Caenorhabditis elegans: one gene and its partner. The protein of the gene in region 2 purifies or fractionates together with the protein of the main gene of each other region. This does not show direct contact. Each region holds a gene or a part of one and is shown on either strand. Other genes may lie near its edges. The genes, in order: pbs-5 and Y76B12C.3.

What was found.
Region 1: the proteins of Y76B12C.3 (region 2) and pbs-5 fractionate together in Caenorhabditis elegans (co-fractionation; one large-scale study listed by BioGRID). This does not show direct contact.

Annotation. Positions count from the first base shown.
Region 1 is NC_003279.8:14,714,347-14,725,907, reverse strand, and holds pbs-5 (Proteasome subunit pbs-5), read left to right. Parts: upstream 1-5,430; 5' UTR 5,431-5,445; coding exon 5,446-5,849; intron 5,850-5,900; coding exon 5,901-6,235; intron 6,236-6,436; coding exon 6,437-6,552; 3' UTR 6,553-6,741; downstream 6,742-11,561. Other genes in the region: K05C4.10 (uncharacterized protein), read right to left, coding at 269-612; sol-2 (CUB domain-containing protein), read left to right, coding at 1,177-1,276, 1,329-1,664, 1,801-1,884, 2,715-3,193, 3,632-3,737, 3,782-3,987; K05C4.2 (Protein jagunal homolog), read left to right, coding at 4,569-4,877, 4,927-5,187; Y54E5A.8 (Conserved plasma membrane protein), read right to left, coding at 6,923-7,020, 7,397-7,670, 8,229-8,342, 8,390-8,512, 8,757-8,833, 9,073-9,145; gid-1 (B30.2/SPRY domain-containing protein), read right to left, coding at 11,156-11,287, 11,351-11,481. UniProt on the Caenorhabditis elegans protein: Component of the 20S core proteasome complex involved in the proteolytic degradation of most intracellular proteins. This complex plays numerous essential roles within the cell by associating with different regulatory particles.
Region 2 is NC_003282.8:1,968,912-1,981,090, reverse strand, and holds Y76B12C.3 (Selenoprotein F), read right to left. Parts: upstream 7,387-12,179; 5' UTR 7,384-7,386; coding exon 7,264-7,383; intron 7,212-7,263; coding exon 7,116-7,211; intron 7,029-7,115; coding exon 6,965-7,028; intron 5,730-6,964; coding exon 5,551-5,729; 3' UTR 5,409-5,550; downstream 1-5,408. Other genes in the region: nssp-37 (Neuropeptide-Like Protein), read right to left, coding at 790-854, 911-1,103; Y76B12C.4 (Translation initiation factor IF-2), read left to right, coding at 8,720-9,112, 9,909-10,185, 10,233-10,321; Y48A5A.3 (Ubiquinol-cytochrome-c reductase complex assembly factor 2), read right to left, coding at 10,863-11,145, 11,276-11,352; shq-1 (Protein SHQ1 homolog), read right to left, coding at 11,616-11,999.

The DNA of each region.
Region 1 (11,561 bases), on a different chromosome or scaffold from region 2:
CTGTAAATTTTTTTTGAAGTTTTTTATTCTAGCAGTTGAAAACGAAAGAATCGCAACTGTAGAAAAATTTCAGTTAGGATAATTTCAAACTTTAGTTGTAAGAAGGATAAACCAAGATATGGGCGGAGCTTGCAAAACTCCACCCATTTCCTGGTTCAAAATTTCCAGTTTCTTTTCAAATTGAGTGAAGATTGTTTTATAAGAAAACTTGAAATTTTTGAGCTACCCCCCACTTCTTGGTTTCCCCTCAGACTTATGAAAAACCTACATTTTTTCACCGAATGTTTTTTTTTCCAAATCCAAAAAAAGAAGACGTTCATTTTCTCGTAGACTAATGTATTTTTCTGCCAAATTTCCCTGCCCCATTCTGCTCTCTCTCTCTTCGTTTTCCGTTAAAATGAAGAGCACCCACCAAAATGAAGGCGAAGAAGCAATTCCATCTTCTCGTCCTTTTCCTCTCTCAATTTTCGGGCGAGTGTATTCAGATGGAGCAGCTGAAGAAGAGCACACTCTTTTCCTTCTGAAGGTCCCTCCAAAAATGGATAAGTGGACAAAGAAGATGTAGTAGAAAAAGGAGAAGAAGATACATCGATTTTTTATTTCAATTTCCATTTTTTTTTCTCTTCTGCATTTTTTTTTTCTACATTTTCTAGTCTTTTAAGCCAAATATAGGTTTAGCTAGGCTTTCTGTTAGGCTTAGACCTAGGTTTAGGCTTAGGCTTAGGTCTATTTTGAACTTTTTTCAATGCAATTCCCGATTTTTAAAAAATATTTTTTAGAGTATAATTTTGCCACAAAATATTGATGGCCGAGCATTTTTTTTCAGTGGCCGAACTTTATATGTTCGCGGCCACGTGACTTGTATCTCATTTGATCTTTTCTTTTTGGTGTTTCAGAAAATTTAAAACCTTGACCTACCTGATACACTGGCCGTGAAATTGTGAAAACTCGGCCACCAATTTTCACGCGGCCACGTGGCTCTTCCAAAAAACCAAAAAAAAATTGGACAATCTCTACTTTCTTTTCAAAATTTGTTTCCTTCAAAAAATTATCTTTTCTGTCCAAAGAACAATAGAAAACTTGAAATTTCTGGAAAAAACAAAAACTAATTTATTTCTAATTTTTCTGTGGGGATTATTATTCATACCAAATTTTTCTATTTTTTCAGATGGTAAAATGATTGAATATCTGTTATTCATCATTATCAACGTCATCACACTGATCACATGCTCATATTGTCCCATAAAGCATATTCATTCGTCTACACCCACTACAGGTGAGCTCTGGAAGTTTCCATAGAACATTAAAAAAAAATGGTGCAATTGCAGGATTCATTGAATCTCCGGGATATCCATCGGCATTCTCTGCACCTCTTGACTGTATATTCAACATAACAACAGCTGCATCGAATGTGATCCAATTATCATTTGTCTCATTTGATCTAGCATCAAAAAATCAATTAAGTGATCAATGCCTGGATAGTTATCTTCTGGTTGTTGTAGTTGATAGACATGGTAGACAACATGTTGGTGAGAGGTTATGTGGGAATCAGGTTCCACTGTCTATTAATACTATGCAATCATGGATGCAAGTTCAATTCGTCACTACTTCAACTAATCAGAAGCATCGAGGGTTTAGGATTCAGTACAGGATTCTTTCGGAGGGTAGGTAGAGCTGGAAACTAGTATAATTTTTTTCAACCAGTTCTTTGTAGACAACTTTTCTATCTTGTTTCTTTTCAATTTCCCATGCTTCTTGCGAAGTTCTAGCAAATTTTCCCTTTAAAAATACCATTTCCAGCAGCAATCCAGGAGCCATCTTCAACCCTCGGAGAATCAATGTTCAGTGGTTGTGGTGGACATTCCACTCCTGGACAACTTTCTGGTGAGGTTTTAAGAAATTTGTAAATTTTTGCCACATGGCTGCGTGAAAAGTTGGGGACCAAGTTTCCTATTCTCGCGGCCAAGGGTGTCAGTGTCCCGTAAAAATTACAAAAACGGGACAACGGGAATTCCCGTTCCCGTGAAAACGCTCAAAAACGGGACAAAAGACGTCCCGTTCCCGTAAAAATGACAAAAACGGGACAGCGGGAATTCCCGTTCCCGTGAAAACACCCCAAAAACGGGACAACGGGACAAACGGGAATTGACACCCTTGCTCGCGGCCACGACACCTTCATGTTTCGAAAAATTTTGAAGAGGAAAAGTGCTTTAATTGGTGGCCGAGGTTTGTTTCTTTCTAGGCTACGTTGCAAAAACTGTTACCTTACTACGTGGCCGTGGAATGAAAATACTCGGACACCAGGTGATTTTTTTTTTTGAAATTTCAAAATTTCAAAATCTATAAAACTATTTCTGTAATGGTGCGTCCATAGTCTGCGGAAAACGGGAATTTCCCGCGTGCGGAAGCGTCCATAGTCTGCGGAAAAACCGTAGTTTCCTCGCTTTTTTTTCCTCAAAATTCAAAAAAGTAGGCGTGGTCTTTTTTCGCTTTCCCATTGCTCAGCTTAAAATTTTACAACCTCTAATTTGTTGGACACGCCCACTATTTTGAAATTGACCAATAACAAAGCGAGAAACTCCTTCTTTTTTCCGCAGACTATGGACGCTTCCGCACGCGGGAAATTCCCGTTTTCCGCAGACTATGGACACACCATAAGAAATTCAAAAAACTTAAAATCTGAAACTTCTACATTATACAATTATAATATTCAGGTGAAATACTGTCACCAGGCTATCCAACCACATATCCGAAGAATTCCACGTGTAATTGGTTGATCCGTGTAGAAGCCCGACAACGAATCTACATTCGAATAGTTCATTTACACTTGGCCCCCACTATTGCAGAATGTGAACGAGCATCACTAACAATAATCGATGGATATAAACATGAAAAATATGGAATTGATCGAAAGGAATCCACGTCAGAGACGTCTGAAGCAAAATTCTGTGGAAGTCAGCTGTATTATGCAGAAGAGGGAATGAAAAGCTATTTATCAAGTGCAAATCGAATTGTTGTACGATTTATTACACAGGAAGGACCACCGTCTTCAATGATTGGGGAAGAGAGGATTGGATTTAAAGTTGTATGGACTGCAGTGGAGGGTCTGATTGGAGAAGGTGATGAGAGTGTTAATGGAAATTCTTGTAAGGATCAATTTATGTGCCATGGGGGACAAGTTTGTGTTGAACAGGTTTGTGAAAAATCAGAATGTTTTCAATGAATCTATATGTAGTTCCTTGTTATTTTTTAGAAATTAACTTGAATCATAAATTCAAAAAAAAAGAGTTGTTTAATTACAAAACTTTTTATTTAATCCAAAATTTTGGGTTAGTGTAGTCACTAAAGTACGCAAACGGAACTACAGTACCCAAAAACATCCCATTTCACGACATTTGCTAGTTTCGAGCTGGAAAATTGATTTTTGAACGGGAGAAAACATAAATTCGACAGTCTGAATATTCGAAAAAAAAGGAGAAATTCTAAAGTTGAACAGAACCTATTTAGAATAAATTTTGTTTTGTAAGAAAAATTAATTAGCCTTTTCGTGATTTGTATTTTTGATATTTAACAAATTGAATTGCCACAATGCTGAAATCCATGTATTTTCAATTACTTTTTTCTACTTCAGGGTCATGGAATTTGCGCTTCACGGTCCCGTCTCTGCATTCACAGCTCTCTCGTTTGTGACGGAATCCATAATTGTGTTGAAGGAGATTTCTCCGACGAGCAACACTGTAAGCTCATTTTCCAGTAAAATCCAAGATCTAAAAATTTCCAGGTTACTCCCGAGAGATAATAACATCGGCGGCACTCGGATTCTCGTTGATTGTGCTCACGATGCTCGTCTTGGTGTGCTGTGATCAGTTCAGGAAGCGGCGACGGCTTCGGGTGATGATTCGGGAACGAAGAGCCGCGTCGGAGAATGGGAAATGTAAAAATATGAATAATAATTCGATTACAACACGGATACAGCCGAACCGGTGACTATTAGAGAGCGAATTGTGAATGTTTTCGCGATTCGCTCGACAAATTTATCGAATTTTTCACAATTTTATAATTTAAAATTGCTTTTCAGTTAATGTAACGGAGCTTTTTTCTTTTATTTTTAATTTGAAACTTTAATAAACATTATTCAAACATATAAATTATTTACTTTCGACAATTTTCAAGTGTTTTGCCTGGCAGAATAGAAAGAATTATGGAAATATTAATTCTTTATCAGCGGGAAAGTAAAAGAAAAATAACGGCAACTCCGTGCGGCGATATTGCGAAAACCGCGCGCGCGCATTGCAAAGGGGCGGAGACTCGTCTTTTTGTCATCTTTTGTCATCACTAAAACTAACTAAAACAAAATTTTCTATATCTTTCGCAGGTTTTCGCTTTTTTAACGAGTTTTCTCATTCTTTCTATGGAAATACTGATGAATGTGTAGAGTTGGTCGATATTGGGACCTGTGAAATTTATACTTTCAGCTCAGATGTTATTCTTCGCTGTTTCTTCTTAATTTCTCTTTTTAATCACTTGAAACTCAATTATATCTTTATTTCAGCTCACTTCAAGCGGGAATGTCATCACGAGGAGTTCGAGCGGCGGGTACCGATGGGACGGACTTCCAAAATCGGCAGAGGGTCGCACAGCACTACCAGGAGAGCGCTCAATACAAGTCGATCCTCAAGTGGTTCTTCGTTCCACACTTCTTGATCCTGGTCTTCATGTGGCTCAAGGTTGGCAGCGAACTCCTCCGAACAAATTTCGGATGGAAAAACGCGTTCTTCGATCGACTGGACATGCCGTCAGCCTACCCATGGGAGTATGTGTGGTGCTTCTCATTCATTCCGATCGTCCTCGCCATCTATTCGTTCCAACGAAACAAAGTAATTTATTTATTGATCAATTTGCCACAAATATAACTTCTTATTTCAGCTCAAGATCCTCCACTACGCCTACTATGCCGAGTTCGTCGTCGGAATCTTCCCATGCATGATCGGGCTTGGAGGACAACTTCCAGAGCTGATGGAGTATGCTCAAGACATGGAGGGAAGCAACACACCGACATTCAAAGGAATCTTCCCGATGGTCATCATATGGTACATCTTCTTCGCGGTCGCACTCCAGATTCACGGATTCTCCATGTACTTCATGCATCACCTTGCCGCCGCATGGGCTCCAGTCAAGCGAGATTAAATTTTCTCCGTTTTGTGATATTATTTTTCAATTTTCCCCCATTTGTTGAGTTGTGTACCTTTTCCTTGTTAATAGTATTTTTATTCAAATTCCTGCTAGTCTCTATTGCCAAATTAATAATTCCATATCTTTTATTTATTTTCTTACTTTTTCTAATTACCGGTTACTGTTCTACAGTTCCGTTGATACTTTTCTGTTTCAATATTGATTGCATTTGTTTCATTTTGTTAAATCAATTTTCAGAATCGAACTCCAAAGATGTGGGGCGAGACATTCGACGATTTCGAGAATGACGAAGGAGAGATGGCAATGGCCAAGCAGAACCTGATCGCCGAGCCGGCTCGAGCTGATTTCACTTTCGCGAAGCTTCCGTTGGGAATCCAGCCCGTCGATTTCATGAAGACTCACTTCGCCGAGACCGCCGGAAAATCCATGCAATTCCGCAAAGGAACCACCACATTGGCGTTCGTCTACGAGCCAGCAACTCCAGCTGACAAGGGAGGAATCATTGTGGCTGTCGATTCACGAGCCTCCAGTGGTGAATACATCTCATCCAAGTCGGTCATGAAGATCTTGGACATCGGAGATCGTATGGTTGCCACGATGGCTGGAGGAGCTGCTGACTGTCAGTTCTGGACCCGAATTGTCGCCAAGTACTGCACGTGAGTTTCAATATTTTCAGCTTCAAAACAAAAATAATTATTTATTTTCAGTTTGTACGAGCTCCGCGAGAAGACCTCAATCACCGTGAGCGCCGCGAGCAAGTACTTTGCAAATACGCTCTATGGATACAGAGGACAAGGATTGTCAGTTGGATCGATGGTGGCCGGATACGATAAGAAGGGACCACAAATCTTCAAAGTCGACTCGGAAGGAGATCGTTGCCAGCTTAAAGTGTGCTCAGTTGGCTCAGGATCTCTGAATGCCTACGGTATCCTCGATAATCACTACAAGCCAAAGATGACGGACGACGAGGCCAGAAAGCTCGGCCTGCGTGCGATCATGCACGCCACTTATCGGGATTCTGGATCCGGAGGCGTCTGCAATTGTACGTGAAGCTTTTTGCTCGGCTATTCCACAAAATGGACCATTTTTCACTAAAAATGGCTTTTATTTTGTCTAAAATTTAAATTTTAGACGATTTTTATTCGAAAAAATTCTTCGGATAAATGAAAAAATTGGTTCATTTTGTGAAATCTCCGGCCACCTTTAATCTAATCGCTTCTATTTTTCATCCTCCAAATTTCAGTGTGCCACATCACGCCAACCGAAAAGATTCGTCTTCCACCAATGGACGTGAGCAAGCTGTGGTACGAGTTTGCCGATGAGCTCGGCAGAGATATCACCTACAACCCAGTCGAGTGATTCAATTTCCCTACGCTGAAATTAATTTTATTCTTCTTACATGTATTTGATGTCTGATCCGATCCCGATTTTTTTTACATACACACCCGTCTTTAAAATGTCATTTATTTCTATTTTTCGTTTCCAATTAATTTATTCTTCTTTTGCTAAATACTCTCTGTACATTAAGTTCTAAAGTTTTCAAGTTCGAAATCCCGAATTTAGGCTTAGAATTTAGAATTTCCCTCGACAACAGGGGTGGCTGGAAGAAACTCTCAATCACATGGCACAAATTGGATTTTTGGAACATTAATATCAAGTAGTTCTAGAGGGATACTGAGATGGAGTTACACTCAAAAGTTTATTGCAATTTTCGAATGTGAAAATCAAGTTAAAGCGATATGTGTCGGCTGGGTGTTGATGACGTGGTGATTATAACAGCTGGAGTCCCATTAGTGTTCCGCCACGCAGGGCCTATTCGTGTTCCAGCTGGAAATAGTTTAATTGTGCTATTATTTGAATTGTTTTTTTCCATTAAAATTGAGAAAAAGTGCGATTTTAAGAGTAATGGGTATCAGTAGGATCTAAATATTTTAGCTACCGTACCCAGGAATATTTTGCAACTTTCTCTAATTTTTTCGACAGCTTTGGATTGTACAGTTTTGGCTGAGAAAGTCAATGGGTAGTTCGAAATTTGCCAAAACTAAGTTTTCCGTAGATCAAACACAAAGGTTGCGCGCCAAATATGATGTTTTGAGTCCTCAATCGGAAAGTACGCAAAGACACACAAAATGCATCAGATTTGACGCGCAAACTTCATTTTTCTTGTTTGTGAAAAAAATATAATATTTTTTTAAAAACTTACAGGACATAGAAGGTGCCACAGATGCCCGTTCTATAAGCTCAATTTGCTGCTCTCTCCGCCTGGGAAGCATCGGACGGCGGCTCTCGGAGCCCACACTATCGCCAGCTTTATTATATATAATGGCACTGGAACGATCGAATTGTGGCTCCTTTTGCATATTATTTATAAAATGGTAACAAGCGGTAAGCATGACGCCCATGAAAATTCCAATGCAGAAGAGTAATCCGACAAGAATCCACGGGAAATCAGATGGCTTGAAGGAATAGGAACTTGGCTGGAAAAATCGAAAATTGGTAAGTGGTCAGCATGCGCGCTCTAATGTTAAAAGAAATATAAATTGTTGGTGTTGGGTCCTGCCGTTATCTAAATTGATATAAACATTTAAGCTACCATAGTCACGAATATTTTTTTTTTTTTTCATTTTGTTAGAATATTTTCGTCGTACAAACCGATAATCGGCAAAATTTTTAAAAAAGTTAAAAACTCTGTAACCGCGCTCCAATGATAAATAATAGAATTGTCGGGTCCCACCACAATCGAATCTTTTCATCTACCTTGAAATTTGCATAATAACAGAAATTGGAAAATTATTTGAAATTCAAAAAATATCTCATTTTTCAGCGGGAATTGGAATTTTACGGAAGCTGGCTTTTTCAGAGTCGATGCACCATGTGCAAAATTTTGACAGGGGATATCTCTTGGTTCATTTTGAAGGTACCAACAAATTTTTAAACTGCAAAATTATCTTTAAAAATTTGGCGTCAAATGTGGTGTATTGTGTCCACAAAGGAAAAATAACCGAAAACACTAGATTTGACGCGCAAATTCTCACCGTAGACGTTTGCTCTTTCTTCTGCGTAGGCGGTGGTGGAAGTGAAGCAGAAATGACACGTGAGCCACCTGGTTCGACGGCTTTCCAGTAGAATTCTTTGTTATTTATTTTTTCCTGTAAAAATAATAGTTTTCGATTTAAAAAATATGAAAGAGACAAACTTTAAGCCTAGGATCGGCGTCTTTTCCCATACTCTGAATAATTTCGGCCGCCAATTTCGGTGTCATTTCTTTTCCGCCACGTATCTCGTAGTAGTTCGTACCGTACTCATTGTTTCGTACCGCCTGAAAGTTTGAAATTAAAAAAAAAAAACGAAACCCAAAAAGTTGCACGTGGTGTCAGGCTGTCCCACTACGGTTTGATCTACAAAAAATGCGGAAATTTTTTTACAAAAAATGTGACGTCAGCCCGCTCAATGTGAAATTAGTTGAAAAGTCTGCGTCTATATTTCTGCGATTCTCGTAGATCTACATTGATCAAACCGATATGGGACATTCTGACACCACGTGTAGTTGTAGTAGAACTCACACTGTAAGTAGTATTTTCTGGATCTTCAGCTTCTGGTTTTTGGGAGAGTCGGACACTGAACACGTGCACAGAACAGTCTGCAAACTTTATTTGTTGAAAAAATCGCTTCGAGACCTAGAAAAAGTGCGGTATAGCGTAATTGCATACTTCGTTGAAAATTGCATGTCAAACATTGTGTATTGTAACCAAAAATCGCAAATTTGAAATCCCGTAAATATTTCGCTTCTTTCCAATAAAATTACTTGAAACTCAAATTTTTGCGGCGAATTGTAATGTGAACATCATGTTTGACGCGCAAATTTAAGAAAAAACGAACCATTAGGCGGCTGACACTGTGGAATAACAACAGAAAGTGCCGAAAGTACGGCGGTAAACAGAATAAGTAACATTTTCGGCTTTCTTCTCGAAATTTCAAAAATCATCACCGAGTACTACGGTGAATCATTATAGCTATATTGGTTTTAAAAATTTGAATTTGATTTTAAAAAAAGTTTTTTTTTGGAAATTCGTTTTTCTTTGAATAACAATCACAGTGCCGATGAAGAGAAGGAAAAAACCGAAAATAATATATAAAAGAAGTTACACACTCTCAGATAGACAGAAAAAGAGACATACATACACATTGATAAGGAAATCATCGGAAAATTGAGAGTGAGAGTGAGAGTGAGAAAGAGAGAATTAGAGACAAATAGTTGTAATTGATTGAGAGAGATTTGATATGTGACTGGTTATTTTGGTGGTCTAGAATATCAACAAAAAAAAACTAGACCTAAATTAGCTTGTTCCATAGCCGGAGACAAAAATTGCGCGTCTAATGTGGTGTTTTGGTGCGCAACCGGAGAGTACGCAAACACTGACCAAATGCACCAAGCGGAGCCTGCACTACAGTAACATAATTACTTATATATAAAACCAGACGCTGACCGCGCCCCCGGCGCATCCAACTGGCTGGAATAAATTTCAAATACCCCTTGAAAATAGCAGTGCAATTTTGAAATTAATTTGATTTTTTTGAAAATGAAAACTTTCAAAGTAACGGTAATTTTGCGTGTTGGCATAGCCTACATTGGACGGAAGGAAACTCTACTTTATATATATTATTATTATTGAATACGTTTATTTGAACGTGAAAATAAGAGAAGAAAAAGGGGAAAAAATATAAATTATATTGAATATTGTGGAATAATACAGAAAAGTGGGAACGGGTTGAGGCCTTGTTACATAACCTTATCATTTATTAATGTGTCCAAAAAATAGGGATAAAGTCTGTGTCTGATGAACGAAAGTTAAGAATGATTGCTTTTTGCAGGGTTGAACACGATGAGTGAAAAAATGAGTTCGCTTTTAGGAGTTTTCCACCTGTAAGCGTGGCTGTTCCTAGTTCTTTCAGAAGGTTTGAACTCAAAAAACTGTGAATGATCTATATAGTAAATGATAATATAGCACGTGGGGATTATTAGGGGACATGGTCGGGGTATTGTAGTAGCAATGTAGGGGTACTGTAGGATTACTGTAGGGTTCCTGTGGTTTTAGAAAAAATGAGTTTTTGTCTTTTGCAGGGATATTGGTATGAATGGGGAATATGGTTGGGGTACTGTAGTAGTACTGTAGAGGTACTGTAGGATTACTGTTGGATTACTGTAGTTTTAGAAAAAAACATTTTTGTCTTTACAGGGATATTGGTTTGGTGGGGGGATATGATCGGGGTACTGTAGGATTACTGTTGGATTACTGTAGTTTTAGAAGAAAAAAAAGTTTTCGTCTTTTGCAGTGATATTGGTTTGGGGTTAGTGGGGGATATGATCGGGATACTGTAGTAATACTGTAGGATTACTGTGGTTTTAGAAAAAAAAAGTTTTTTTTGGCTTTTACAGCGATATTGATTTGGGGTTAGTGGGGGGACATAGTCAGGGTATTGTGGTAGCACTGTAGGATTACTGTAGTTTTGGAAAAACTGACTTTTCGCCATTTAAAGGGTTCGGTGTTAGTAGGGGAGCAATTGTGGAAAGAACCATCTTTCCGGGAATTCAAATTTTCTGAGAAAGAAAACGTTCTAGAAAAAATGGAAATTTCTAGAATTTTCTTGAAGGTCTGCAAAACTCCAGGAAAATGCGAACGGCTGGTAAAATACAATTTATTTGCAATAATAATTTTGAGATAAATTTAATTTATGGCTCTTTTCGTTTCGATGCCTGAGTTGATTATTCAATTGGGGTGTTCCATGGGAAATCCAAATTTACAAAAAAAGGAAATATATACAGTTTTGTAGAATTTGCGCGTCAAATGTGGTGTTTGGGTCCGCGATTGAAAAGTACGCAAACACCAACCCAATACACACAAATACATCAAATTTGGTGCGCGAGAATTGCAACAAAAAAAAATTAAAGAAAAATCAAAAATCAAAATTGAAATTCATTTCGCTGCTGACGAATAATCTCTCGAGGTGGAGGATCTGGCCGCTCGTGAGCCAATTCCATGGGCTCATCCGTATAGATTATCTCTTTTTCATTGAAGTTTGGCTCCTCGAGAATCTGAAAAAAAAAACTTGTTAAAATTTTTCAGGTTGCTGATCTGTAGAAAAATCAAAATCCTACCATTTTCCGGACGAAATGAATTCCAGCCATTTTCTTGTCATTAGTCGAATAATCGATATGAAGACCCTTCCAACCGGTGAATAGGTTACGTAATTCAGAGAACATTCGTAAACTTGATGAGCCTGGTATTTCTGTAATTATTGATTGAATCCTTAGTGTACATTAATTTCTGAAAAGTTTCTCAAAAACATCCAAAAATTTGCTCGTCAAA
Region 2 (12,179 bases):
TTGTAGCCGATTTTCGTGCAAAATATGTGGGATTTCTGCAGAAATTGCGCATCAAAAATCGTGAAAATCATTGAAAACTACGTCACAACTACGATTAATATATCTTTCCGTCGGATCTCCGCTAGAAAATCGATTTTTTCGCACCACCGAGAGTCTTGTTAACTTGCAATTTTGGCCAGAAAATCGGCTAATTTTTCAAAATACAAAGTTATCGACGCGTCACAACTTTCAAAGATAAAATCCCCGCGATTTTCTGCGTTTTCCCCGAAAACTCGGGATTTTCAACAGGTTTCACTATTTTTTTAAACGGAATTCCTGGCTTCCCTCATAAATCGAAATGGCAGAGTTTGCCGAACTAGGCCATTTTGGGTCGGAGAGATTTTGTGTAGATTTACGGAGCGTTGCGTGTCGCGTCGCGGCTCGTTTTAGTTGTAAAACTAGAGTTTGTTGTCCGTGTGGAGTACACGACACCTCCACGCGTTGTCCATCAGGCGATTGTCAATGGAACGCGAAAATTCAATGAGAAAGGCCAGAACCCCGGTGTTTTTTATTTCGAATTTAACGTTCAAAAGGGCAAAAACCCATGTTTTCAACTTTAAATCTCTAAAAAAGAGCATTTTAGCCAAAAACTGAACGATCTTCTCCTCGAGGACAAAAAAAGCAAATTTTTCCAAATTTTCATAGCTTTTCATCGTAATTTCCTGAAATTAGGAGAAAAATCTAATTATTTTTTTTTCACGACAAAAACCTTTATAAATACATTATTCAACAAAACATTTATGATTATTTTCACTTTCTTCCGAGTCCCTTGTAGTATGGGAATGATGATTTGTAGTATCTTCCGCGGATTGATCCTGCAAAAAAATATATATAACCACCAAAAAAATCGATAAATCGTCGTAAGACTCACGAAGATCACGATAAAGGCTGTGGCGGTCCTCAAGAGATGGCGAGACATAGTACATTGCCTCGTCGCCGTCATCCATATTCTTCCATGAAGGTTCTGCAATCTCCTTATCGTCTGAAACACCTTCTGGAACACTCTGCTCTGTTGGGATGAGGAGAAGCGTGGCGAAGATGAGTGCTTGAATTTGGAAATGCATCTGGAAATTGGTTTATGGGAATTTGCAAGAGAGATTGGAAAGACCAGAAGAGAAATATGATTGTTCAGCTAAAAAGGAATATCTCGACATTCATGTGGTGTCAGAGTGTCTCATTTCGGCTTGATCTACGTAGATCTACACAAAAATGCGGGAGAAGAGACGCAGAGTTGTCAACAAGAACATTCTGGTGTCACATTCTTTTTTGGGCAAAACATTCCCGCATTTTTTGTAGATCAAACCATGATGGGACAGCCTGACACCACGTGTACATTGTTTGGGCTTTTCTATAGTGAGAACTCAAAAGAAAACGTGGAAAAATTGGCTCCGTACATCTCAACTGTGGAGAACTCCAAATGGATCGTCTCTGGGATAAGAAGTAGGCATTTTTAAAATGCCTACGTGCCTGCCTACTTTCGGGTCTGGCAGGAATTCTCGTATCTGTGCTACTGAAAAAGGTTTGATCTACAAAAATGCCGGGAGAAGAGACGCAATGTTTTCAACTGATTTGAACGTGCTGACGTCACATTTTTTAGCAAACAAATCCCGCATTTTTTGTAGATCAAACCGTAATGAGACAGCCTGGCACCACCACGACTGCTACGGGACCCCCCGTTACTATCCCTTACACCGTCTACAAACTCAAAGAATTTCCAAAAGCTTCAACTCAATGTCACGAAAACTTCCGTTTTTTCAACAATCTTGTATTACGGGGACACAATATTCTGAGAATGTGTATTGCACAGCATATTTGATCAATTAATTTCAAAAAATTAAGCCCATAAATCGACACAAGAGCTACAGTAGTCATGTAAAAAATTACTGTAGTTTAGATATTTTGCGCGTCAAATATGTTGCGCAATACGCATTCTCCAAGCTTTGCGAACCCGTGATAAGGTAAACTGTCTAACTCCGCCATAACTCCGACAAAAAATACTCGAAATTCTGGAAACGAGGTTCCACGTGGTGTCAAGCTGTCCTATCGCGGTTTGATCTACAAAAAATGCGGGAATTTCTTTCCCAAAAATTGTGACGTCAGCACGCTAAATCAGTTCAGAAGTCTGCGCCAATATTCCCGCGATTCTCGTAGATCTACGTAGATCAAACCGAAATGGGGTACTCTAGGCTGTCCCATTACGGTTTGATCTACAAAAAATACGGGAGATCCTTGCCCAAAAAAAATGTGACGTCAGAAAGTTATTAATCATGCGAAATCAGTTGACAACTCTGCGTCACTTTTCCCGCATTTTTTGTAGATCAATCCGAACTGGGGCTCTCTGACACCAAAACCGCCTGAAAACTGGCGTATCTTTTAAATGGTGAAAATACGACAGAATGAGCACTCTATCATAAAAAAAAACGACATCATGATCGACTGAAACTGACACGGATGGCAAGACAAACTGCCATTAGCACATGTATTTATTTTTCACAGAGCTTAGAAGAAGAAGAACAAACATATTTATAGTAATCCGAAAGGAATGATGAATTAAAGGAATTCGAGTTTTCGACAGCTTCTGAGCTTGAGCCTCAAGCTTGAACTGAAAAAAAATCCGAGAAAAATCAAAAAAACACGGGTGGGGAAATAGACTCTATTCGTGAGCCGGAGCCCGTCTTCCAGAGCACATAATAGAAAAAAAAGTTGTTTTATATCTCTACACGCTCCTTCTAATCGAATATTCATGATATTGGCTTTGCCGTCGAAATGAGCTACTCTTGCTGAATATCTTAGTTGCGGAGGGCACTGATGAATTCTGAATTTAGAATTCATCAATTCAGTCAAAAGTGTAATCCAAGTAGCTCATTTTTTGAGTGAGTGAGCTCCGGGAAAATGTACACGCATTAAAAAAAATTTTTTTTTTTAATTTGCGCTCGACCAGAAAAAAAGAAAAAAAACTGGATAATTACATCCATTATTAGTACGGCTAGGAGGCGTGTGAAGTTTGAATAGGTGAGGAGCAGCAGGCGAGGAGAAGCTGCTCAAAGTTCAAGAATCGAGGATTACGCAAGTTTTTGCACCTGCCCAGTTTAAAGATTGTGCATATTTCAGGGAAATTCTAGAAAATCGAGTTCTGCAGAATTTTTTTTCTCGGAACTTTGAACCTGATGACTAGTTTGGAGGCCTAGTTTTCTATCCAGGAGGCCATTTAGTGAAAGCCTATACGGATTTTTCAGACTAGAACAAACAGTTTTTTGGAGAATTACTATTACGCAAACACAAAATTCTGAGAATGCGTACTGCACAACATATTTGGCGCGCAAAATGTCTCGTAGCGAAAACTACAGTAATTCTTTATATGACTATTGTAGCGCTGATGTGTCGATTTACGGGCTCCATATATGAAATGAATTTTAATCATTTATTTCTCGATAGAATATTAAAATTAGGCGAAAATTAAGAAAATAATACGAAGAAACCGGAGGAAAATAATAAAGGTATAGGATGTAACTGCCACTCACGCACACTGATCGATCTTATAAGGGTTTATTAAGTAAAAGGGAACAGACTAATTGCATCGTCGAAACAGAGTAAACGAGAGAAAAGGGAAAACGACAAGTAACGGGTTAAAGAGTTAAGAAATGATCACAAATGAGCGTCGTCCTCTCCTTATATAGGCATTTCCGGGTTAAAGACGCAGCCTTTAACGACGACGGGTCTCGGCGCGACAATGCGACCTTCTGTAGCTTGGCGGCGGTTTGAACTGGAGTTTCTCCTCCTCGCGGATTGCCTTCGCTGTAGAAATCGTTGTCCTCGACCGATTTCGTCCGTTCTTTCTGTAAATTATCAGAGAGAATTTACAGACAAATAAATTAGTATTTATTTATGTAAAATGAGAAGTGAAAAGGGTGGAATCCTTACAAAATCGAATATCGCTGACCGAGCCCGTAAATCGACACAACAGCGCTACAGTAGTCATTTAAAGAATTACTGTAGTTTTCGCTACGAGATATCTTGCGCGTCAAATATATTGTGCAATACGCATTCTCAGGACTTTGTGTTCCCGTAATGTGCGCCGAAATTCTCTAAATTGCAGAAATTTTCAGAATTATAACGAAAATTGCGGCAAATCGGAAAACCGGCTACTTGCCGAAAATAAAAACTTCCGGCAAACTGGCAATTAACCGAAAATGAAAGTTTCCGGAAAATTGATGAACCGGCAAATCGGAAAACCGACAATTTGCAGGAATTGAAATTTCCGGCAAAGCAGAAAACCGGCAATTTTCTGAAAATGAACATTTTCGGTAAATTGGAAAACTGGCAATTTGCCGAAAATGAACATTGCCGGCAAAGCAGAAAACTGGCAGTTTGCCGAAAATAAAAATTTCCGGCAAATTGGCAAACCGGCAATTTGCCGAAAATTAAAATATTCGGCAAATCGGAAAACCGACAATTTGCCGGAATTGGAATTTTCCTGCAAATCGGAAAACCGGCAAGTTGCCGAAATTGAACATTTCAGGCAAATTGGAAAATCGGCAAGTTGCCTGAACTGAAAATTTCCGGCAAATTGGCAAACCGACAATTTGCTAAAATGGCCATTTCCGGCTAATTGGCAAACCGACAATCGGCCGGAATTGAAAATTTCCGGCAAATCGAAAAACCGGCAATTTGCCGGAATTGAAATTTTCCGGCAAATTGGCAAACCTGCAATTTGCCGAAAATAAAAATTTCCGGCAAAGTAGAAAACCGACAATTTGCCGGAATTGAAAACTTCCTGCAAGACGGAAATTTGCCGTAAATGAAAATTCCGGCAATTTGCCCAAAATAAAAAATTCCAGCAAAGCAGAAAACTTGACATTTGCCGGAAATGAAAATTTCCGGCAAATTGGCAAACCGGCAATTTTCTGAAAATGAAAATTTCCAGCAAATTGGCAAACCGGCAATTAGCCGGAATTGAAAAATTCCTGCAAATCAGAAAACTGGCAATTTGCCGGAAATTAAAATTTCCGGAAAATTGGCAAACCGGCAATTTGCTGAAAATGAAAAATTCCGGCAAATTGGCGAAACCGGCAATTTGCTGAAAATGAAAAATTCCTGCAAACCGGCAAACTGGCAATTAGAAGCCGAAAATGGCTCAGGAGGCGCCTGAGCTCAGGTAATCAATTTCCGGCAAAACTGGAGCCAAGTGGTCCACTATAGCTCTATTTGTAGCTCATAGTCAGTAATAATTCGATTATTTTTAGTTTTCTTCTCATTTTACTTGTTCCTTCTCCCTGTGGGGGAGGATAATGTAATTATGAAATGAAAGGGAGAAGCTTGGAATATTCTAGAAGAGTCGTGATGAAAATCTGAAATTAATGTGAAAAATGAAAATATCGGAACCTTGTTGCTTTTATTAACCAGCCCACTACAGCAAAAAAAATTGGAAAATAATTTAAAAAATACCAGTGAAAACATGGAGAGAGAGAGTCAGGAAAATATGGGGTGAAAATCGAATTTAATAACAAAAAATTATTCGAGCCATTGATTGAAAAAGTCGATGAGCGTATCGGTATCCCATTTCTCAACGCTGAGCACCTCTTTTGTCTTAAAATCGGCATCTTTCAGTGCAACTTGTGGTCGGACACCTCGTACATGCTTAACTTTCACTTTTCCACCGAATTGACGAGCCATATCCTTATGGACGAATGCTGGAATTATTGATTTTTTGGGTGTTGAAAATTTCACTGAAAAATTTAAAAAAAAGTTTTTTTATTTTTCGATTTTCGGTTTTTTTCGAATAAAATCATAAAAATTATTATTGCAAAAATGAAAAAAAGAGAAAGTCGTGTACTCCACACGGAAAATTATTTTTTTGAGCCGCGACGCGACACGCAACGCGCCGTAAATCGACCCCGGCCGAGCCCAAATGGCCTAATGGCTCTATGAAAATATCGGGGTTTTTGATGAAAAATAAAAATAAAAAAAGCTTGAAATTTTTTCGATTTTCGAAATTTTTCCGAGCAAATCGTAAAAAATTAAGACTTTTTCTGTTAAAAATAGTTTTTTACCCTTTTTTCTCTCGATAAACAGGATTTTATGGTTTTTCGGCAAAAAAAAACTCGCTTTTGGTCATTTTTCGCTAATTTTTTAAATTTCAATCGCAAATTTTTCACTTTTATTAGTATTTGAACGTGTAAATCGGGGTATTTATAAGAATTTCTTGTTTTTCACCAAAATTACCCAGAATTTCGCTTTCAAACACTAAAAATAGAGATAAATTAGCATTGAAAACGAAAAATTTCAACAAAAATGGTTCCAAATCTGAAATAGAATTTCCGCCAAAAACTACAAAATCTTCTCCTCGGGGAGTACACGAGCCGCGTAAACCATCGTGTGTGTGTGAAAAGCTAGTTTTTTTAAACATTTTTCAGGGAAAAATAATAATATTTTCGCTTTTTTAAAAACTTTTTTCAAAAAATCGGCAGAAACTTTCTTTTCGAATGAAATAGTTTTATTTTCTAAAAATAGAGAAATTTCAGAAAATTCTTGGAAAAATGATTTTTATCCTCTCGAAAAATAGGGAAACAGAATTTTTCGATTTTCAGAAAAATGAGCTCTAGCACAGCCCCGTGTAGATTTACGCAGCGTGTGTACTCCGCGAGTAGTAGGATTTTATGGTTTTTTTGGCAAAATATCCCTTATTTCGGGCATTTTTTAATGTTCAAATACTAAAAATAAGGATAAATTAGCATTTTTAACGTTGAAAACGAAACATTTTAACAAAAATGGCTCAAAATCAAGAATTTCTGCCAAAAACTACAAAATCTTCTCCTCGGGGAGTACACGAGCCGCGTAAATCATCGACAGTTAGTGTGAAAAGCTAGTTTTTTTCGCTTTTGAGGTATTTTTCGGGCCATATTCTCTTTTTCCAATCAATTTTCACCTTGAACTTGTGGGAATCGAGCCAAATTGCACTCGCAGACTTCCAGAATTGCCGTTGGATATTTCTGAAATTTAAAAAAAATCGATTTTTGGGTGATTTCTAGCGGGAAAAATCGATTTTTTCACAAAAAAATCCCAATTTTAAAGCGTACTTCGTGCTTAAACTCTTCTTCCTTAATACAACACTGAAGACAATCGGTGAGCAGCGTTTCCAGATGATAATCCGATAGTCGTTCGCATAATCCGCACTGAAAATTTACGAAAATTTCAGATTTTTGCCAAGATTTTCAGGAGAAAAACCTTTAAAGTCTCCGGATTGAATCCCGCCGCCTTGCACTCCTCTACATCAATTTTATACTCTTCAACTTCACCGAACATAGGCGAAACCACGGCGGCCAGCAGCAGGAAAATCACCCACATTTTGCTGGAAATTTTTATTTTTTTTTGTTTTGTTTTGGAATAGCAAAAAATCCATGAAAAATGAGTGAAAATCCCCATTAAAATACGTGGAAAATGCTCCAAAATTGGCTCAAATCGACGTCAGCAGTGCAAACACCGCCGGGTACCGCCACACCATATTTGACGACAGTTTTGGGCAAAGTTTGGAGGGAACCCATTCACGGGAGGGAAAATAGGGGAAAAGTACAAGTTTATATAGCTAAAAATCCATATTTTTCGGGGGGAAAATTGGGTAAAAAGCACGAAAATGTCGGAAACTATCGATTTTTCGATTTCTGCGATGAAAATACGGTACTGGGTCTCGACTCGACAGGATTTTTTTTCATTCTAAAAGGTGTGCGCCTTTAAAGAGTACTGTCATTTTAAATATTCGGGGTTTTAATCGATTTTTAATAGTTTTTCGATAAAAATGTATTTGACAACAAATTACAGTACTCTTTAAAGGCGCACACACATGTTTTCCATTTAACAAAAATTTGTCGTGTCGAGACCTGGTACCGTATTTCTGGCGCAAAAACCGAACAACTTCAGAGAGGACAAATTGAATGCATGTTTTAATTTAAATCTAGAAAATTAATTTTCAACAAAAATTGAATAATTATTCCGTGAAATTGCCATTTTGAACTTCGAATTGAACTTAGAATTCAAATTTTTCAAAAAAAAAAAACCGACAACCTGTGAGAAAATAAATTTATTGTTATTTTCTTCTCGGCTAGCGGAAAGACGGCGAGGATAAAATCTGATTTCTTGGAAAAGTCAAAACCGATTCACATAAAGGTAACTTTTTTGCTTCTTTTCTAGGTGGCCTAGGAAAAGCGAAAACTCGGCCAGCGTATGTTTCCGGGAATTTGCCGAAAATTCTCATCAAAAGCCTTTTTCGCAGAATTTTAAAGTTTTTTATAGCTGAGAGAAAGTTTTGATATCTTGAAATTTCTTGATTTAATTTTTTTTCTCCCCAGACACCGATAAGTCTAGGTCTAAGCCCCCCCCCCCTCAGCCTAACCTTAGGCCTGAACCTAAGCCTAAGCATAAAGCCTAAGCCTAAAGTCTAAAGCCTAATCCTAAGCCAAAGTCGAAGCCTAAGCCAGAATCTAAGCCTAAGCCTGTACCTAAGCCTAAGCCTAAAGTTAAGCCTGCCTAACCATAAGCAAAAGCTCGAGGCTAAGCCTAAGCATGAATCTATGTCTAAGCCTAAGGCCACGCATAAGCCTAAGCCTAAAAATCAGCAAAATGTGCTCCCATAGCAATTCTACGGGCCTCCACAACAATTCTGAGCCATAAATTTCCAGATTCAAAAATGGAAGCACACCGCGCCGAGCAACCACAGTGCACGAAATCGGGTAAAGTAATTCTAAAGCCTGGATATGATATGACAGACGGACTGAGTGAGATTGATGACTGGGCTCCGGAAAAGAAAAAACGGGCGAAAAAAGTGCCCTCTAAGCCACGTGAAGGGCCCAAGTTGATCGACGAATTTGAGGAAAAGGAATCGGAGAAAGAGGCGGCGGAAAAGGAGAAGGAAAAAGAGAAGGAAAAAGAGAAAACCCATGAGAAAAACGAGGCGGATAAGGAGGAAAAAGAGGCAGAAAAGGAAGAGGAAAAGGAGGAAAAACCACCGAAGGAAGTCACTGAGGAGAAGGAAAAAGAGAAGGAAAGAGAGAAGACTAAGACGAAGGATGAACTCGAAGAGGTCTGATTTATTGATTTTTATATGGAAAAATCAAATGAAAATCGATAATTGCAAAGCTGCCACATGGTGTAAGGTTGTCCCATCACCGCTCGATCTACAATAAATCCGGGAAATTTCGCCCAGAAAAGTGTGACGTCAGAGGGAAACCTTGCGGCTCGCTTCCCGCATTTTTTGTAGATCACGCGGTCAGCTCGACACCACGTGAGCTGTTCGGATTTTTTCTCTCAGTGCACGTGGCGTCAGAGTGTATCATTTCGGCTTGATCTACGTATATCTACAAAAAAAGCGGGAGAAGAGACGCAGAGTTCTCAACTTTGTTGTTGTTGTTGTGCAACAACGCGGCGCTAGCGCCGTTCTAGACGCCCGCCGTATGTGCTCCACCGCCCGGATCGAAGGGTTTATAGGCCAGCCCGAGGGCACGGGCGGCTTCTTTGGGGGACGTCCACAGATTTTCTTTCAGGATCGGCTTCGATCTACTGCAGGTTAGGTAGTGTGATCTAGGCCACCCTCATCATCTCCACAGCTACATGTCCCGACTGGAGTTCGTCACATAATTTGGGCAAAAAATTTCCGCATTTTTGGTAGATCAAACGTGGCACCACGTGTGTATCGACGAATGGCCGTGAAAAAGGATTTAAGGATATTTCCCGTAGATTTTTTGGATTTATCGATTTTTTTTTCGTAGAAAAATCGATAATTTTGCGTAATTTTTCACAAGAAAATGTATCGTTGTGGATCGATATTGAAAATTGCTACAGAAAATCGATAAAATTTCACTCACTACTCCTTTTTCCAGGCGCCAAGGGAGAAGGAAACGATGGAAAAGAAGCAAAAATCAAAGGACGAAGACGAAGGGGACCTATCGAAGGAGGAAATTTTGAAAATTAAGAAAGCGTTGAAAAAGGAGAAAAAGCTGAGGGATCGAGAGCGATTGAAAACGGAGAAAATCGATAAATCGACGGAAACGAAGAACTCGACGACTCCCAGCACGGAAAAGGAGAAAAGTTCGATGAAAAAGACGAAAAAGGAGGCTGCCGTGGCCACCGGCACCTCCGGCAGCGCCAAGAAAAAGGGTAAATTATCGATTTTTCAGAATAAAAATCAATTATTGATTTTTCAGTGAGACCACCGGCCCCCCCTCCGCCGCCGACAAAGCGAAAGCCTAAAGATATACGGGCGAAGAAGAAGGTGTGCTGCACGATTTTGTGAACTTTTTCCCTTTATTAAAATGAATAATTCGCTTTGATTTATTGATTTTTCATAAACTATTTGGCTTTAAAAATAAAAATTTCGGAAAAAAACGATGTTCCGATATTCTGTCGAATTTTTTATTTTTTATAGCGAACAGTTAACAAAAAAAACGCTTAAAAATAAGCGATTCGGTTGGAAAAGTTTCAAATTTCGCTACAAAATTAAAATTTCACGCGCGTAATTCGTAAAAATCATCGAAACAGCCGATCATTTTTAGATTTTTTTTAATGAATAACCGCTATTTTTAATGTTTTTTCACTACAAAACTGATGAAACCGCGGAAAAACCGAAATTTCAATCAAAAAAAATTAATTCTAAACAAAAATTTAAATTTTTAAAATTCAAAACACAAACGACACTCCGATATTCCGCTTGCGCGCCCTGTTTAGCGGACTGTTTTTTACATTTTTTTTTTAAGTTTTCGATCGAAAAATACGGGAAATCAGAAAATAAAGCAATTTTATCGTTCAAAAAGCTAAAAAAATCCAATAAAAATCGATTATTTCTTCTCGGGCACGACGGATCGATATAATCGCTTGAAAATCGATACTTTCGGCTGTAGACCCATCTGTTTTCGGCTTTCTTCACTCGAGGCCGCCTGTAGATCGGCTAATCGCATTCCAAATACGCCGGAGGAGTACGAATTCGGGTGTTTTTTGAGCACTTCGTTGTTGAGCAGCTGCTCGAGCGCCTGAAGACGTTTCTCGCAAATCGCTTGAGAGGCGACGACTCCCGGCTGGAATTGCCGTTCGATTTCTTTGACGAGGAAATTGGAGAAGTCTCTGAAAAAGGGCAATTTTGGAAATAATCGATAATTTGTAGATTTTAGCGAAGATTTAGCGGAAAAATCGATACTTTATTGATTATTTTTTAGTGAAGCGCGCGTTGCGGTCGCGTCGCGTATAACCCTACCTTTCCGGCGCCCGAAATGCGTCTTTCGGCCATTTTCCGGCGATTCTGACGTACTGCTTGTAGAGATGCTTTGACATCTGTAAGAATATCGGATTTTCTAGCTGAAAAATCAATGAATCGGTGAAAAAAGGTAGAGTGAGGAGCTTCGAACCCGAAAAATCGATATTTGGAGAAAAAATTGAGTAATTATTTTAGAATTCAACAAAGTGTGCAACAACAGAAAAAATTGTGAAATTATCGATTTTTTAGCGGAAAAATCAATTAATGTGGGTAATAATAGAAAATAACAAAAAAATTGAAAAAAAAAATCGATAAATTATCGATTTTTCTAAAAATCATATCAATTATCGGGCTCATCATCGCTGTCAAGTTGAGTATTCGCCAGTTTCGCCTCGGCTTCCAACACCTCCAAATCCCATCCAATATCGTATTTATCGATTTTTCCCGAAATTTCCGTCAAATCCGTCTGAATTCGCGTCAGAATCTCGTCGGGCACAGTTTGAATCCAGAAAATGTAGTCGGCAATCATTAAATCGTTCAAAATGTAGCGAAATTCTCCGGATTCGATGAAAATTCGGTGTAAATCGCATAGAATGTGCAGGAGGGCGGGACGGCCACCGCCGGCGGTGATGACGTGGCAAACGTCCTGAATGACACGTTGCGTGAGTTGGAAGCTACGGTAGAGTGGGTAGGTGAGTGCACGGCGGGTGCACGCGAGGAGACACTGAAATTTGGGAATTTGAAGAAAAAAATTATCAAAAAAAATTTTTATTTTTATCAAGAAAATCGAATTCAGCTCTCCAAGAGCATTCATTTAAGTATAATCATGACTAGGCTCCGACGATTTTGAAATTTCTCGGGTCTCGCCACGAAGCTTCTGTAGTTTTCGTGGCGAGACCCTAAA